Linked DNA regions of Macaca fascicularis. The protein of the gene in region 2 purifies or fractionates together with the protein of the main gene of each other region. This does not show direct contact. Links are inferred from orthologs where the notes say so. Each region holds a gene or a part of one and is shown on either strand. Other genes may lie near its edges.

Evidence for each region.
Region 1: the proteins of KIFAP3 (region 2) and KIF3A purify together in Homo sapiens (co-immunoprecipitation; 9 studies listed by BioGRID and IntAct, counting the BioPlex papers as one, with this or other methods). This does not show direct contact. The link is inferred for Macaca fascicularis from reciprocal best matches to the Homo sapiens genes KIFAP3 and KIF3A.
Region 3: the proteins of KIFAP3 (region 2) and KIF3C purify together in Homo sapiens (co-immunoprecipitation; 3 studies listed by BioGRID and IntAct, counting the BioPlex papers as one, with this or other methods). This does not show direct contact. The link is inferred for Macaca fascicularis from reciprocal best matches to the Homo sapiens genes KIFAP3 and KIF3C.
Region 4: the proteins of KIFAP3 (region 2) and KIF3B purify together in Homo sapiens (co-immunoprecipitation; 7 studies listed by BioGRID and IntAct, counting the BioPlex papers as one, with this or other methods). This does not show direct contact. The link is inferred for Macaca fascicularis from reciprocal best matches to the Homo sapiens genes KIFAP3 and KIF3B.

The regions. Positions count from the first base shown.
Region 1 is NC_088380.1:139,256,526-139,260,589, reverse strand, and holds the start of KIF3A (kinesin-like protein KIF3A), read left to right. Parts: upstream 1-1,251; 5' UTR 1,252-1,378; coding exon 1,379-1,384; intron 1,385-4,064. UniProt on the Homo sapiens protein: Microtubule-based anterograde translocator for membranous organelles. Plus end-directed microtubule sliding activity in vitro. Plays a role in primary cilia formation. Plays a role in centriole cohesion and subdistal appendage organization and function.
Region 2 is NC_088375.1:27,702,863-27,707,086, reverse strand, and holds the start of KIFAP3 (kinesin-associated protein 3), read left to right. Parts: upstream 1-1,375; 5' UTR 1,376-1,615; coding exon 1,616-1,647; intron 1,648-4,224. UniProt on the Homo sapiens protein: Involved in tethering the chromosomes to the spindle pole and in chromosome movement. Binds to the tail domain of the KIF3A/KIF3B heterodimer to form a heterotrimeric KIF3 complex and may regulate the membrane binding of this complex.
Region 3 is NC_088387.1:96,281,430-96,284,991, forward strand, and holds part of KIF3C (kinesin-like protein KIF3C), read left to right. Parts: intron 1-91; coding exon 92-214; intron 215-1,387; coding exon 1,388-1,506; intron 1,507-3,562.
Region 4 is NC_088384.1:88,358,539-88,362,735, forward strand, and holds the start of KIF3B (kinesin-like protein KIF3B), read left to right. Parts: upstream 1-1,365; 5' UTR 1,366-1,472; intron 1,473-2,535; exon of another isoform or gene 2,536-2,605; intron 2,606-4,197. UniProt on the Homo sapiens protein: Microtubule-based molecular motor that transport intracellular cargos, such as vesicles, organelles and protein complexes. Uses ATP hydrolysis to generate force to bind and move along the microtubule. Plays a role in cilia formation.

The DNA.
Region 1 (4,064 bases), on a different chromosome or scaffold from region 2:
TTTAATGGTCCTGTGCCGCCATTACTTTATCTGTAAAATAATAATAAATAGTATCTATTTCAAAAGGTTATTGTGTGGATTAAATGAATTTAAAAAAGAAAGCATGTAGAACAGTACACTGGCACTATGTAAAATGCCTTATCATTATTTTCCTCAGTTCCTACTGCAAGCTCACAGCCCTTGCATGCTAAGATGGAAGCACGACGGGAATGTTGGATGATACAAGGAGGCCAGGTGGGGCTGGTGCAGAAGAAGCAAGAGGGAGGATTGTAGGGCTTGTGGCTTTAGCTTTGTAAGATGGGAAATCAATGGAGGGTTTTGAGCAGAGAAAAGAGAAGATCTGATTCATGTTTTAGCACCAGCACTCTGGCTCTTGTCCAGCACACTGAAAGGGGACAAGGACACAATCAAGGAAACCAGTTCTAAGCGACTGTAGTAATGCATGTGAGAGACGATGGTGGTGGGAGAAGTGGCCAAATGGTTCCACTACGAAGACAGATACAACAGGCTGTATTTAAAGATACACTATTCATACACATGAAAGAGCTTGCAGTTTTGACCTGAGCAGTTGTCGGAATTAAGCTCCCACATATTGAGACGAAGGAAGTCTGGGAAGAATGAGAGGGAGCCCTTTTTAATTTTTTAATGGGGGTGGAGTGGGGTAGTGGGGCGACTGATGGGGGATCAAGATTTCAATTCTGGACATGAATAACTTGAAATACCCATTACACATTCAAGTGGACTGGAAAGAGGATGGACGGATCATTGGTTCTTTGACCAACACGTATAAAAATCCCACTCTGTGCCAGGCTCTGTGTAGGCTCTGGAGATACGTGTGAAAATACTAAACCACCTCCTTAAGAGCTCACTTTCTAATGGTAAGACCGGTCATGAGGAAGTTAGCAATCAAGCGAGGTCAGGTAGGTGAGGTCTTTAACTCTTCGGATGAGAGAAAATGTGCAATTGCTATTACTGATTTTAACATTCCGGGTATTGCAAGGACCAGCAGACGGGCCTAAGAGCTGCTACTCCTCCCAACCCGGGGCTGCCAGGTTATCTCCGCCTCAGTGCGGGCCACATTTCTAGCGCAGCAGAATGGCAGCATTGCGCACGCGCGGCCTCTGTCTGGAGTCCTAGGAGATGGACTCGGAAAGCCTCCGCGCAGGCGTAATTCAAGGGCCATGAGAGTCTGAGACTGGGCTTGGGGCGGGGCGAGCTCGGAATGCGGCTGCGCACTGGGCGCTCTCGCCCGGGAAGCCGCAGTCTCGAGAGCTCTAACGAGGTGCTTCGATAGTCTCTGGCCAGCCTTTCTGCGCACCCGGTGTCGTTTCGCTGGACCCCGGGCGGGGACGTCCGCCGGGCACGGGAGGGAGCCAAGATGCCGGTGAGGAGAGTCGCTTCGCCTCTGGGGTTTCTTCTCATCCTCGCGGCCTGGCCCGGGGGCGCGGCCGTTGCCATGGAGGCGCGGAGCAGGCTGACTGCCTGGGTGGGGCGGGGCAGGCTCGGTCGTGCGGCGGAGGTGGTTGGAGAGCCTGGCTAGTCAGCCCCGGGGCCGCGGACGTCCGGCCGGCCTCGAGAGGGGCCTGGGGGCAGGCCCTGCCGCCCTCGTCGCTGCTGCGTCCCGTGGGGCCTGCGCCGCTTATCAAAAAGGCGCTGGGCTGGAGGTTGCTCTCTGGCTCGCAGCCCTGCCTGCTGAGCGGGGCGTCTGGGGGTGGCCACGGAGGGTCTCTTTGGATGCTCCACACCTCGTTAGGCCTTTGCGCCTCGGAGCAAGCTCAGGGAGGCAGCGGAGCGAAGGCTGCCTGCCCCTATTCCGAGCCCCAGACTCCGACTCTCCTAGCCTGGAGCTGTCATTTCTCTTGTGGCGCTTTAGCTTATGATGCAGAATGAAACCTGTAGGTGTCTTTGTGTGTGTGGCGGTGTTATGTTTATCTTCCAGGATTTCACAGATTGTTATCGTGAACTTAATAATGGGGCCTTGTAAGACCCCTTGTTAGGGGTCATGGAGGAAAATTGAGCCATGGCCGCTTATTTAGTGGTTGTGAAGCCTGGCATAATTATTTAATCTGTCTGGGTCCTTAGTGCCCAAGTAAACTTTACCTCATGGGGTTGTTATCCGCGTGAAATAATGCACAGGAGACTAGAAGGACAGTGCTTGACATTTAAGATTAAACGCTCTATATTTGTACCTGTTCACTGCTTTCAAGTTTTTAATTCAATAAATATTGGGCGCCAACCACGTGCTAGGCCTTGAAGATACAACATTGAGCAAAACCAGTCAGGTTCTTGAACCTGGAAAGAGAGAGGCTTGCCTTCTTGGGCAGAGGTGAAAATCATACGTATTTGCAGAAATAAGACACAAAACCTTAATGAATGAAGTGAGTGGGTGTCCTACAATAGAGAGAAGTAGATTCTGGTGAATTGGAAAGTATTGCCATGTAAGATTGATGGTCTGCAGATGATAACAGGTCATTTTTTTTTCCTCCCAAGAAGAGACTTTAGAAATCATTTTTGTGAAATTTCTTAATTTTAGCAACTAATTCAGAAGCTCTTTAAATACTATGAACCAAACAAAAGAAATTTGTGGGCTGAATTCAGCCTCTTGACTACCTGTTTGCAACCTCCAGTGTAGACAGAAAGACGTTAATCAAATAAGGAACAAGCAAAAGTAAAATTCGTGTCCAGGAAGGGGAGAGCAGGTGCTTTCTGAGCCTATAAGAGTATTTGACCTAGTCAGGAAGTCTTCCCAGGTGAAGTGGCTGTTGAGTTCTGAAGGATAAGTAGATGTTAGCTAAATGAAGAGGCCACTGAAGATGGTTCTAGGTAGAAGAAACAGCACCTGGAAAGGCCAGTGGTGAGGAGCCTGGTGACAAGAAAAGGCCAAGAAGCTCAGTGTGGCTGTGGCATGGATGAGTCAGGCAGAATATCTTGTGAAATAAGCCCAGAGAAGCAGACATGGGTGGAAGCCAGACCTTACAGTCCACCTTAAGGATTCTGGTTTTTGTCCTGAGATCTATGGGAAACCACTGAAGAATTTTTAAGTAGGAGAGTGACATGATTAGATTTGTGTTGACACTGACTGCTATTTGGAGAATAGGCAGTAGGGCAATCTAATTAGATTCAGGAATATAGTTAGGAGGCAGTAATCCAGGGCCAAGATGATGGTAATTTAGACTAGTGTGATGAAGGCAGAGATAGATAGAAGTGTATTGTACTGATATAATCTGTTACTTGTCAGTGACAATGTCAAAGTCAATGACAATGGCTTATATTTGTTTCTCTTTAATGCTTAGAAGAGAATCTGAAACAGTAGGAATTTAACAAGTATCTGTTCAACTAAACTGTCCTTTTCACTTCAATAATAGGATTGTGTTTCATTATATTTTCTTAATCATAAAATTTCAGAAATAGCTGGGTGCGGTGGGTCACGCCTGTAATCTCAGCATTTTGGGAGGCCGAGATGGGTGGATCACTTGAGGTCAGGAGTTTGAGACCAGCCTGGCCAACAAAATGAAACCTCATCTCTACTAACTAAAAATACAAAAATTAGCTGGGCATGGTGATGGACGCCTGTAATCCCAGCTACTGGGAAGGCTGAGGCAGCAGAATCGCTTGAGCCTGGGAGGCAGAGGTTGCAGTGAGCCGAGATCATGCCACTGCACTCCAGCCTGGGTGACAGAGTGAGACTCTGTCTCAAAAATAAGAAAAAAACATTCAGAAATGGAAACTTTACATGCACAAATGCTCATAAGGTTAGGTAATATAAGGCATTTTTCTTTGCCATTAGACTTTCATTTCTGTCTTTATCTTATTGTTGTCTTCTGTAGAGAAGGCATATATGGATATATTACATAATAAAAACCATTTTACAGATGCATGATAGGGGATAAAACTAAAGTCTCAGGGGGAAACAGAGGTCCTACTATATTCTTGAGTTAAAGTTGTTAACCATAGTCACATGTGTTTTTCTATAGGCAGGAAACGCTGGGTCAGAGACTTTTGTGCAGAAAGACAATCTAGAATATATTGGTTCAGTTTCTGCTTGTACAGCCTTTGCCACAAAT
Region 2 (4,224 bases):
TCTTATATTATCTATGCATTTTAATGTATATTTTTGTCTTTCAATTTTAGGTATTGTGAAGGTTTTAAAGTAATCTAGCCTGCTATATTACCGTTAAAGTTGTCATAAATGATAATTTGTAAAATTTTACATCATTTTGCAGAATTAATATTTAGAAAAACAAACAATAGGAAGTCCAGTGAGGAAGGACTTGCAGTACTCTAGGTATAAAGTGGTTAGACTATTGGTAGAAGTAAGAATGGAGAAAAAAACTGGACTACCTGAATATCTTGAAGGAAGAAAAGATAGAATTTTGTAACACTTTAGTAAGAGGGCATGATACAGAGGAAGGAATTAAAATTAGCTTCAAATTTTCTTCCCTGGCAGAATAAAGAATGACTATAACATCTACAGAAATAGTGTTGTAGCTGGTGTGAATGGGTGGGAAGATAAAAATATATTTTGTTGGGTAAGGACTGTATTTCTATATTTAATATACCATGCAGTGCCTTAACATGGTGTTTTACACATAACGGATAATCAATAATTGCATCAACGTACTGCATTTGAAAAAAGCAGCAGAGCAACTACATGCACGTCTCGAGGCAATTGAGAAAACAGGACTAGAAGACAGTGAATAAGTGACAAGATTATAGGTGAGGAGGGGGAGTGGAGATGCTTTCTTTGCATCCCTAGAACTTGGTTTGGTGTTTGGCACACAGCCAGCCCTCAATTCACATTTATCAAATAAATGAACCTAAATCATTTGCATAGACGTAATAGCTGAACTCATGGGAATAGATCTTAAACCAGAGAACATTCAGTTATAAAAGAATCCTTCTTTCCTATGCCCTGCACTGCTCACAATTGCCTGCCTCAGAAGAAGCAATTCTAAACATACCTTGAGTTAGGGATAATTGGTGGAGTTGGAATTTCAGGAACTGTTTGTTGTTGTTGTTGTTTGTTTGTTTTGGTTGGGGAGAGGTGTATTCTAGATCTAAGACATCAAAGTGACAGACTTGCCACCTTCAAGGTAGATATTAATTATATCCATTTTGTACACGGGTCAGATTATCTCCACAAATTAGAGCTTGTAAGTGCCGTCAGTGCAATCCAGGCCGCCAAATAGAAACCTCCCTTATTAGCTAGGACTGGACTGCTCTGTAGCATTGGATAACAGGTTCTCGGATTCCCCTCCGTCCTTTCAAGCTGACCTGACAGCCCTTTCTATTCCCATCCTCAAGGGGGCGGTGACTACGGAGCCACTCCTTATTCACGGACGCTCAAATGTGCACCAAAACTTCCCTGCTCCGCTCCCCGGTGCGTCAAACTCGGAGGCCAGCGCCTCAGACTGAGCCTGCGCATATAAATGGTGCAGAGCAAGCGCATGCGTCCTGACGGCCCGGCATAGGCGACTCTGGGCGGGTCTGGGCCGCTCCAGTGTTTTGGGGCCCAGAAGCTGTGGGAGGAGCTGGAGGCTTCACCGTGGTAACCAAAGCGCCGCTGCTGCCCCGCCTTGCAGGCCTCAGGACTGTCATCACCTCTGGGTGTGAGGGTACTTTGGTCACCGTCCCCGGAAATAGCCGCGCCTGCCTCTCAGACACCCCATCCTCCCCACGCCGCTACCGCTGCCGCCATGCAAGGGGAGGACGCCAGATACCTCAAAAGGTGACGACTCCCCAAAGCTCTGTCCTACCCTCCTTGCCAGGGCCCTGAAGATGGTCTTGGGTTGGCTGTGAGATGTCACTGGGCAACGCTAGTTTAGAAGAGGGGATGGGAAGCAGGGAGAGAAGTCACCGAAAGGAGAGGGAAAAGGTGAAGCGGGGAAAAAAAGGAGAGAGTTCTGGGGGGTTTCAAGGTCCTCTGATCTGACTTGGCGGAGCCCTGACAGCATTGAAAGATGGCTTCTTCGCTGCATCACCTTATTCCAGGAGGAGAGGGAGGTGTAGGGCAAGGTAAACCGCGTCTGTCTTTGTTTTTTTTCCCCCTCTTCCCAGACTCTCCATTTTCCCATAATAGATAAAGCCCATGAGAGCCTGGGAATGAAATCTGGTGCATCCGCCCTCGGGCCTCAGTTTGGGGTTCACTGCCATGGGGTTTTGAAATGATGAAGGAGAAGGAAGTCGTGGATTCTACCTTTTGGAAGGCTGGATTGAGATGTTGATTTCTAGTCTCTTTCTGCTTTCCTCATCCATGTCATCCATTTGACTGCCATATATTCAACATAATTTTTGTAGGACATTTCGTAATTATCAAGAGGTTTGTTCAGAAGCTTGATGACAATAAAATAGACCATCATTTCTTTTAAATATTTATAGTATCAATTACTCAAAAAATTGTAGTCTGTTGGGATTATTTGGCTGCTGGCAAATACTCAGATCATTCCTGATTGAAAAAAAAAAGATACCTCCCACTGGACCAAGAGTAAGCAGTGATCCAATAGAAAAAAATTTTAATTCAGTACTGATTCAGTAAATACCCTGGAAAAGTCACATGTATTCCTTCCTTTGGGCACAGTTTCCTCATCTGAAAATGGGACAGGTATTAACTTCTGAGAGATACGAGGACGAAAGATGAAAATACTTTTAAAAAATGAAACATGAATGTAAGGTGGTGGTATTATTTGAAGTCATAATTCACTTGTACTGAATATTTTTATTCTGGCTTGGCTGAGCTCTCATCATCACAGAAAGATCTTCCAAGTGTTAGTAGACTCATAAAAGGGATTCAAACAATTTTTTAATAAATAATCAACTATATTGTCCTTGCAAGACAGGCATGTATTGCCTGTCTTTATCATTTTATATAAATATATCTGAAACTGGCAAATAGCCGGACTTTATAAGTAAAAATTTTTAAATGAATATATAAGCTTACATCAGTGTTTATTTCCTCACTGAATTTTACTTAACGTTGGTTTTTAAAATACCTTTGTTAAAAATTTTGTGACACAAGAAAATAAATTGTCTTTTAACTTTAAATTCAAAATTGTTCTGGAACAAAGAGCCGCTGTTATACCATTAGCTGATTTTCATGTAATATATTTGTGTCAGAGGTAGTTATTCTTAACATTATGGTACTAGTATGGACACTCAGGCATACTGTGACTTATAATTCTCAACGCATTGTTTGCTTTTAAACACATACTATCTAGAGTTCCAAAATTAAAACTGAACCAGTCAATGAAATGTTTGAAGTAAAATGAGATTAGAATCTGGAATGGTTGAAAAATGCTTTTCTCAATTTCATCTAATTTTTACTATAAATAAGAAAAAGTTTGAATCGTCTGCTTTCAGACTAGAAATATATAGGAGACATGTATTCATACAGGCCTGATGGAAAATATTTATGATGTCCAATAGAACCTTCCATTTTAATTATTGTTTTTTGACCATGATTACATATATTCTTTAACAATATTTTTACTTTTATATTTTGTTTTTCACAAGACAGCAGATAGCAGTATATTTTCCATCCCTTCCTACCTGAATAATTCCATATTCTGGTCTTACAAAAATAATTTTTTTTGGATCCCTATGTGTTTTGGTGTTTGATTCTTACATGCCCTTCCCTTTTTCTGGAACTTGTCCTGTTCTTTGCCCAGCTAATTCCTCATCTTTCGTGTTTTGATATAAATACTACTTTTTCCAGAAGGCTTTCCTGAACTTCCCTTTCCCCCCTCACAATCCAGGTCAGGTATACCTGTTAGGGTCTCATGATACTTAATACCTTGTTTTTCTCTAATCTTACTACTTTATATTTCCTTCCGGTTTATAAACTTCATAAAGGTAAGGTGCTATGTCTATCTTACTTCCCATTGTGTCCCCAGCACTCAGCAAGGTGCCTGAAACATAGATTATTAAGTAAAGTCAGAGTAAGACTAGAAAGAAATGTGGGCCAAATCATATGGGGCTTATGAGCTTTAGTAAAGAGTTGAGAGTTTATTATGAGTGCATTGGGGAACTACTGAAGTATATTAAAAGTGAACAACATTTGTTCATTCATTCAATAGTTGAGATTCTACTATGTAAAAGTCATTGAGCCAAGTGATAAAACATATTTGGCAAATTAAACAAGTATATTCCCTGCCTTCATGGCATTTACACTCTAGCAAGTAATACAGACTTTAAAACATACTGATATTTATTGTATTTATACATGCTATATGAAAAAAAGTATGTGGGCTTTTGTGTCAAGCTTTTCTCACATAGTATATCAAGGTCCATCTATGTTGTAGCATGTATC
Region 3 (3,562 bases), on a different chromosome or scaffold from region 2:
ACACAGGGAGAGTGAGCCAGTCCCCTGAGCGTTCTTGGCCCTCCTGGGTATGCTCTGCTCCTTTGAGCCACACTGTCTGTCCTTGGCCTAGAAACGTCGTGAACGGGAGATGCAGCAGGAGATGATGCTCCGGGATGAGGAGACCATGGAGCTCCGGGGCACCTACACGTCCCTGCAGCAGGAGGTGGAGGTCAAAACCAAGAAACTCAAGAAGGTGAGACACTGCAGTAGGACCAGTCAAGGTGTGCTGGAGGCCCAGCAGTCTCTGCCCAAGGGTGTCTGCTTCAGGGACTCCTCCCCATTTGGCTGGAACTGTTGAACCCTTGAGTGACATGGCTTGGGCCTCGGGAGTGAATAGCAGGGGGAGGCAGGAGGCGGGGGCTGGGGGTGGAGTAGAGCCTTTTCTCCTGGGCCAGGGTGGGCTGTGACAGGCTGCAAACTCTGTCACTTGCAGTATCCAGGGTTACCATCCTTATGGTCCTGGGTGATTTCCCCATTCAGTGTCAGCAGTGAGTCACAGTTGGGATAGCTGGGCCTGGAGCAGGGCCAGGGGAATACAGAGAGGCTGAGGAGGAGACTGGAACCCCAGGAAGCTCCGGCGGGGAGCATAAGGCCCTCAAGGACATGTCAAGGGATGAGAATAGCCGCTCACCAGGACCCTGCAAAGCCCGTAGCAAGGGAAAGACATGTACATGTGAGGAGGGTCTAGGGCAGGAAGCAGCAGAGCTCCAGCTTGGATTCTGGGAGAAACCTGGAGACCCTTTGGGGTGGCTGATGTGACTGCCCTGGGGCAGGCCCGACAGAGGCACTGCCACTGAAGCAGTTACCATGGACCCAGCCCTCAGCGGCTTTGGAGAGCAGCAGGATGGCCATGCTGCCTCCACACCCCACTTTTGAGAGCCCCTGAAGAGACTGGAGTGGGAGGAGTTACCTTCCAAACTCTTTCAGGCTTCATGCTCCCTGAGCCGGGTCTCCAAATGAGCCCTTGATCTCCAAATGGGCCCTGAGTCCCAGTTCCGGCTCTTCTATTTGCTGGTTGTGTGACCTTGAGCAAGGCTGTGCCTGGCTTCCTCATCTGTGAAAGGACGGTATTGGATCAAAAGGTCCCTGGGGTCCCCTCCCGTTTGAACACTCCACGATGCTGATAGCAGCGAGAAAGAGCAGGCAATGGCCACAGGCCTCAGTGTAGGAGGACAGGGCACCCCTTTAAATAGCCCAGCCCAATTCGTGGTGGGTTGGGCACAGCAGGGAGTAAAGAAAAGGACCCCCAGCCTCATCGTGGGCTGAGTCGGTAGACTCTGAGCCTGCAGCCCTGCGGCCCAGGCTGAGTGACTGGGGCCTCGTTGCTACACCAAGCAGCCTCTGAGTGGCACCTGTCCCCATCCAGCTCTACGCCAAGCTGCAGGCGGTGAAGGCGGAGATCCAGGACCAGCATGATGAGTACATCCGCGTGCGGCAGGACCTGGAGGAGGCGCAGAACGAGCAGACCCGCGAACTCAAGCTCAAGTAGGGCCCGCAGCTCTTTTGCTCCCGGGTCCCACAGCCAGCCATCATTACTCAGGCCTCTCCTTCCCGAAGGCCGCATCCTGACTGTCTCCTCTCCCATGAGTCCCTTAGGAACAAAATGCGTCTGAGGGCTGAGGGATGGGCCCACGTGCTGGAGTTTCTTCTACCTCCCTGCCTGTATTTTATGAACCCCTCAAAACGGACGCTAAGTGCTGGCCAAAATTAACTCTGAAGGCCCTGAGGCTACCATCTTTGCATAAGAAGCAGTGATTTTAAATTTTTTAAAAATTATTTTTAGGGCCGGGTGCAGTGGCTCACGCCTATAATCCCAGCACTTTGGGAGGCCGAGGCGGGTGGATCACCTGAGGTCAGGAGTTTGAGACCAGCCTGACCAACATGGTGAAACCCCGTCTCTATTAAAAATATAAAAATTAGCTGGGCATGGTGGCAGGCGCCTGTAATCCCAGCTACTCGGGAGGCTGAGGCAGAATTGCTTGAACCTGGGAGGTGGAGGTGGCAGTGAGCCAAGATCACGCCACTGCACTCCAGCCTGGGTGACAGAGCGAGACAACATCTCAAAAAAAAAAAAAAAAAAAAAAGGTGGCTCATGCCTGTAATCCCAGCACTTTGGGAGGCCGAGGCGGGCGGATCACGAGGTCAGATCGAGACCATCCTGGCTAACACGGAGAAACCCCGCTTCTACTAAAAATATAAAAAATTAGCCAGGCGTGGTGGCGGGCCCCTGTAGTCCCAGCTACTTGGGAGGCTGAGGCAGGAGAATGATGTAATCCTGGGAGGCAGAGCTTGCAGTGAGCTGAGATGGAGCCACTGCACTCCAGCTTGGGCAACATAGCGAGACTCCATCTCAAAAAAAAAAATTATTTTTAAATCTGTTTTAAAAATTATTTAAAAAATGTATATAGTGTATGTATATAGTATGCATATATAGTAGGTATATATATTAATATTTGTGGGATACATTAGATTTTTTGGTTTTGAAGATGGAATATTGCTGTGTCATCCACCCTGGAGTGACCTCAAACTCCTGACCTCAGGTGATCCGCCCACCTCGGCCTCCCAAAGGGCTGGGATTACAAGCGCGAGCCACTGCACCTGGCCACATGAGATGTTTGGATACAGGCGTGCAATGTGAACTAAGCAGATCATGGAGAATGGGGTATCCATCGCCTCAAACATTTATCCTTCAAGTTACAAACAATCCAGTTACACTCTTTAAGTTATTTTAAAATATACAATTGGCTCGGGTGGTGGCTCATACCTGTAATCCCAGCACTTTGGGAGGCCAAGGCGGGGGGATCCCCTGAGGTCAGGAGTTTGAGACCAGCCTGGTCAACGTGGTGAAACCCTGTCTCTACTAAAAATGCAAAAATTAGCCGGCTATGGTGGCGTGTGCCTGTAATCCCAGCTACTCGGGAGGCTGAGGCAGGAGAATCACTTGAACCCCGGAGGTAGAGGTTCCAGTGAGCTGAGATCACACCATTGCACTCCAGCCTGGGCAACAAGTAGAAAACTGTCTCAAAAAAAATATATATATATATACACACACATACACACACATATATATACACACATGTATGTACACACATATATACACACATATATACACATATATATACAATTAAGTTATTGACTATAGTCACCCTATTATGCTGTCAAATAATAGTGTTTATTCATTTTTCTATTTTTGTGTACCTATTAGAAGCAGTCATTTTTCAAGCTGCAGTATTTCTGTAGGGATCCTTTCTGCTTAACTTCTTGATTTTCCCACCTCCACATTGCCTCTGCTTCTTTTTTTTTAAATAAATAAATAAATTAATTAATTAACTTAGTTTTTTGAGACGAAGTCTCGCTCTGTCACCCAGGCTGGAGTGCAGTGGTGCCATCTCGGCTCACTGCAAGCTCCGCCTCCTGGGTTCACTCCATTCTCCTGCCTCAGCCTCCCGAGTAGCTTGGGACTAAAGGCGCCCGCCACCTCGCCCGGCTAATTTTTTTTTTTTTGTATTTTTAGTAGAGACGGAGATGGTGTTTCACCATG
Region 4 (4,197 bases), on a different chromosome or scaffold from region 2:
CTGAACTGTAAGGAAGGCTGGGAAATACTGTCTAGCTCTGTGTCCAGCAGCAAGAAGAAATAACGTTTTTGAGAGGAAGTAGCAATATCTGCCACAACAGGCAAAAAAGTAGGGGTGGGCAGGTGAAGAAGAGCATCTCAGCTATTCATTTATTCAAGGAGCAACACATATTTATTGAGTACCTACTATTGACTAAGCTTGGTTCCAGGCTTGGTGGATACAAGAGTGAACAAATAAAAGACTGCTCTTATGCAGTTTCTATTTAGTGGGGAACAGCAGGTGTAAATTCCATGGGGGATGGAACCTGCCCTTCTAGGCCAGTGTGGCTGGAATAGAGTTTTAACAATTTTTGCAGGAAGTAATAAGGACTTCACATTTGATTCTAAGAGCAATGAGGCTCTATTAAATCGAGTATTAACCAGGAAGTGGCATGATCTGTTGTATTTATTTATTTATTTATTTATTTTAATGTTTTATATTTGAGGCAGAGTTCTGCTCTTGTTGCCCAGGCTGGAGTGCAGTGGCGCCATCTCTCTCACTGCAACCTCCGCCTCCCGGGTTCAAGCGATTCTCCTGCCTCAGCCTCCTGAGTAGCTGGGACTACAGGCATATGCCACCACACCTGGCTAATTTTTTTTAAATTTTTATTAGAGAGGAGGTTTCGCCATGTTGACCAGGCTGGTCTCGAACTCTTGACCTAAGGTGATTCACCTGCCTCGGCCTCCCAAAGTGCTGGGATTACAGGCGTGAGTCACTGCACCTGGCCGCATGATTTGTTTTAAATAATTACTCTGGCCACCTTATGGAAAATGAATTGTCCGGGCAGAGCTGGACGAAAGAATGGAAACAGAGAGAGAGACCAGATATTTCAGGCAGGCTAGAGATGAGCGTGGTCTGGCCTTGCCTGGTGCGGTTGTGAGTGATTAGATTGGGTGAAGTACAAGAAAGATACAACAAGGATGCCTGTAGGTGTTTGTATTGAGTCACTGGGGGCACCCTAAGTGGGAGTTATCTCGGTAGGACTTTGAGACACCAGTCAGATAATGGATGTGAAAGCTTTTAGGAAAGGTTGAATGGCGGCTGAAATAGCGTATGTTCCATTTTACAGATGGGAAACTGAGGCACGAGATACCAGAGGATGGAGTTAGGCCACGTTGTGCGCCACTCTACCCGCTTAGGTGGGTGAGGAGATGAAGGTGTGTTGGGCCCCGCTAAGCTCCAGCACCGAGCTGAGCCCCGCCCGGACCCCGCCAGCTGGCTTTCCCTGTCCGTTGCTCGTGTGCCAATAAAGTTATTGAAATTGACACTGGTTGCTAAGGAAGTGGGTCGCTGAGCCAGGTTGCTAAGGAAGTGAGCGGCCACTGTCTCTCCCCATCCGGGGCAGCGGGGAATGGCTGAGCCAGGGGTTCGCCGCCCCCGCCGCCGCCGCCGCCGCCGCCGCCGCCGCCGCCCGCTTTCGGCTCGGGCCGCAGGTGAGTCGGAGGGGCCGGGCGCCCGCCGAGCAGGGCTTATCCTGTGGCCGCCTGGGATTTTCCCTGCGACCCGCGCCCGCGCCTCCGCCTGGCTTTGCTGTCCCGCGAGCCGGAGCATCCTCTGCCCTGCCTCTCGGGCATCCTCTGGTCGTCCGGACGGCCTTGCCCCTCCTTCCCCGGGCGAGGTCGCGGCCCGACCCCCAGACACGGCCACCCTGGGTCGCAACCCACCTGGGGGCCCTGGAGCGGTGGTCAGGGCCCCAGTTTGGGACGAGGGCGGGGAAGCGAGAGCCTGGGGTCCGAACCACTGCGCTGTCCCGGGTTTGCTGTGTGACCTTGGGCAAGTCTTTTCCCCTCGCTGGCCTTAATTGACCTGTTTATTCAAAGGGGTGCTAACACTTGCTGCTCTGAGTGGTTAAGGTGATGAGACGTGTGTGTGAAAGTGCCCCAAATGGGGAGAGGGAGAATTTTTAGGGCACCCTAGCATGGGAGACCAAGAGGGCAGTTTGAAGTCTGAGTGAGTTAGAGACGTGGCATTTCCACTTAGTAATTGTGTGGCCCTGGGCAAGTTAATTTCTTTGAGTCTAGTTTTTCTTATCTGTGAAACGGTATAATAGACTACTGTGGAAATCAACGAGACTGGGTATGTCAAGTAGCTTGGCACATAGTAAGTGCTCAACTAGCTATTATGAGGCGTCTAGGGGAGGAGGGCAAGACTCCCAGGAGGAGATGACTTTGGGACAGGTAAGGTGTAGGTGTGTAGAGTGCCAGCCCATATGGGTAGTCCTACTGCAATGCCAACTCCCAACCCCAGTTTTACTTCTCCATTCTGCTCAGAGCAAGGGAGGTAGTGGACTTCTACAAGTAGTCCAAACTCTTTGAGGTCAATCCTTTGTAGATAGCTGGGGTCATGGTCTCATTTTCTACTTGGGCTTCGTTGATCCTTCCAGAAGAAAAAAGGCATCTTTGTGTCCTTTGGGAAGTGCTTACAGCAGTAATAACTACAAGCATATGATTAAGAAGCACTTTACCAGGCATATTGTTTCATTTAATCCTTACGTAGACTTTGCCAGGTACCTGGTGATACCATCCTCATTTTGCCAATAAGGAAACTGAGCTTCAGAAAAGCGAAGGTAAGGACCTGGTTAAGAATCTTTTTTTCTTTTCTTTTTTTTTTTTTGAGATAGAGTCTCAGTCTGTTGCCCAGGCTGGAGTGCAGTGGCACGATCTCAGCTCACTGCAACCTCCTCCTGGGTTCAAACGATTATTCTGCCTCGGCCTCCCGAGTAGCTGGGACTACAGATGTTCACCACCTTGCCCACTAATTTTTGTAGTTTTAGTAGAGACAAGGTTTTGCCATGTTGGCCAGGCTGGTCTCGAACTCCTGGCCTCAAGTGATACGCTTGCCTCAGCCTCCCAAAGTGCTGGGATTATATGCATGAGCCACCACACCCAGCCATTGCCTAAGAATTTTGTATCTATTGAGTGATGGAAGTGGAGGTGTTTCTAGGTAAATCCTGTATTTTATCCCCCATTCACTGTTGCCTCTGATTTTGCAACAGTTGCTATTATAAGGCCACAGGGGTATTCTTTTTTCTTTTGTTACTTTTAACTGACTGGAAGCTAAAAGGCAAGGAAACAAGATCTCAGGTAAAGCTTTATTTAAAGAGATACCATCCAAAGTGAGGATCTCAGAAAAGAGTTGGAATCTTTTTTTTTTTTTTTTTTTTTTGAGGTGGAGTTTTGCTGTTGTTGCCCAGGCGGGAGTGCAATGGCGCCATCTCGGCTCGCTGCAACCTCTGCCTCCCTGGTTCAAGCAATTCTCCTGCCTCAGCCTCCCAAGTAGCTGGGATTACAGGCATGTGCCACCACGCCCGGCTAATTTTGTATTTTTAGTAGAGACGGGGTTTCTCCACGCTGGTCAGACTGGTCTCAAACTCCTGACCTCAGGTGATTGCCTGTCTTGGCCTCCTAAAGTACTGGGATTACAGGCGTGAGCCACCGCGCCCAACCTGAGAGTTGGAATCTTTAAAAAAGGGCTTCTCTGTCCCTCATTCTCTCCTTGTTAAAATGAGGGGACTAGGCTAGATTATACTGAAGGCCCTTTCAGTGCTGTTTTGCAGTTGTGGTTAAAAGCCTGCAATCAGACTACCTGGGCTAAAATCTTGACTCTGCTACTTCCAAGCTGTGCGCTACTGAGCAAAGAGGTGCTACTTTACCTCTGAAATGATGGTCAATACCTCTGAAATGATGAGATGACTTTTTGGTAACGGGTCCTGTGAGGAAGAATTATTCGTAGTTCATTTTGAACCCCTTGGTGGTGTAGTTCCCTCATCTGTGAAATGGGGATAGTAATAGTACGTATCATGCATGTCTGTTCTGAGGATTTATTTGAACTTAATATATGTAAAGTGCCCAGCATATTTGATAAACATTAGCTATTGTTATTTGGGCTTAATGTGGTACTTGTACTGTATTTTCCATTTATGGCTGGTGAATGATTAAATTAAAGTATGTGATAATACCAGGTCTGTCAACCATAATGTCATTGCAAGCATGAAACAGTAGCCATCATGGCATTATATAAATGTTGATATTTTTATATGGTTGCCCCAGGAACCTGTAATCCTGTGCCACGATGGGTTGCAAAGAAAGGTGAAAGCTGGCTGGGCGTGGTGACTCATGCCTGTAATCCCAGCACTTTGGGAGGCCGAGGTGGGCGGAT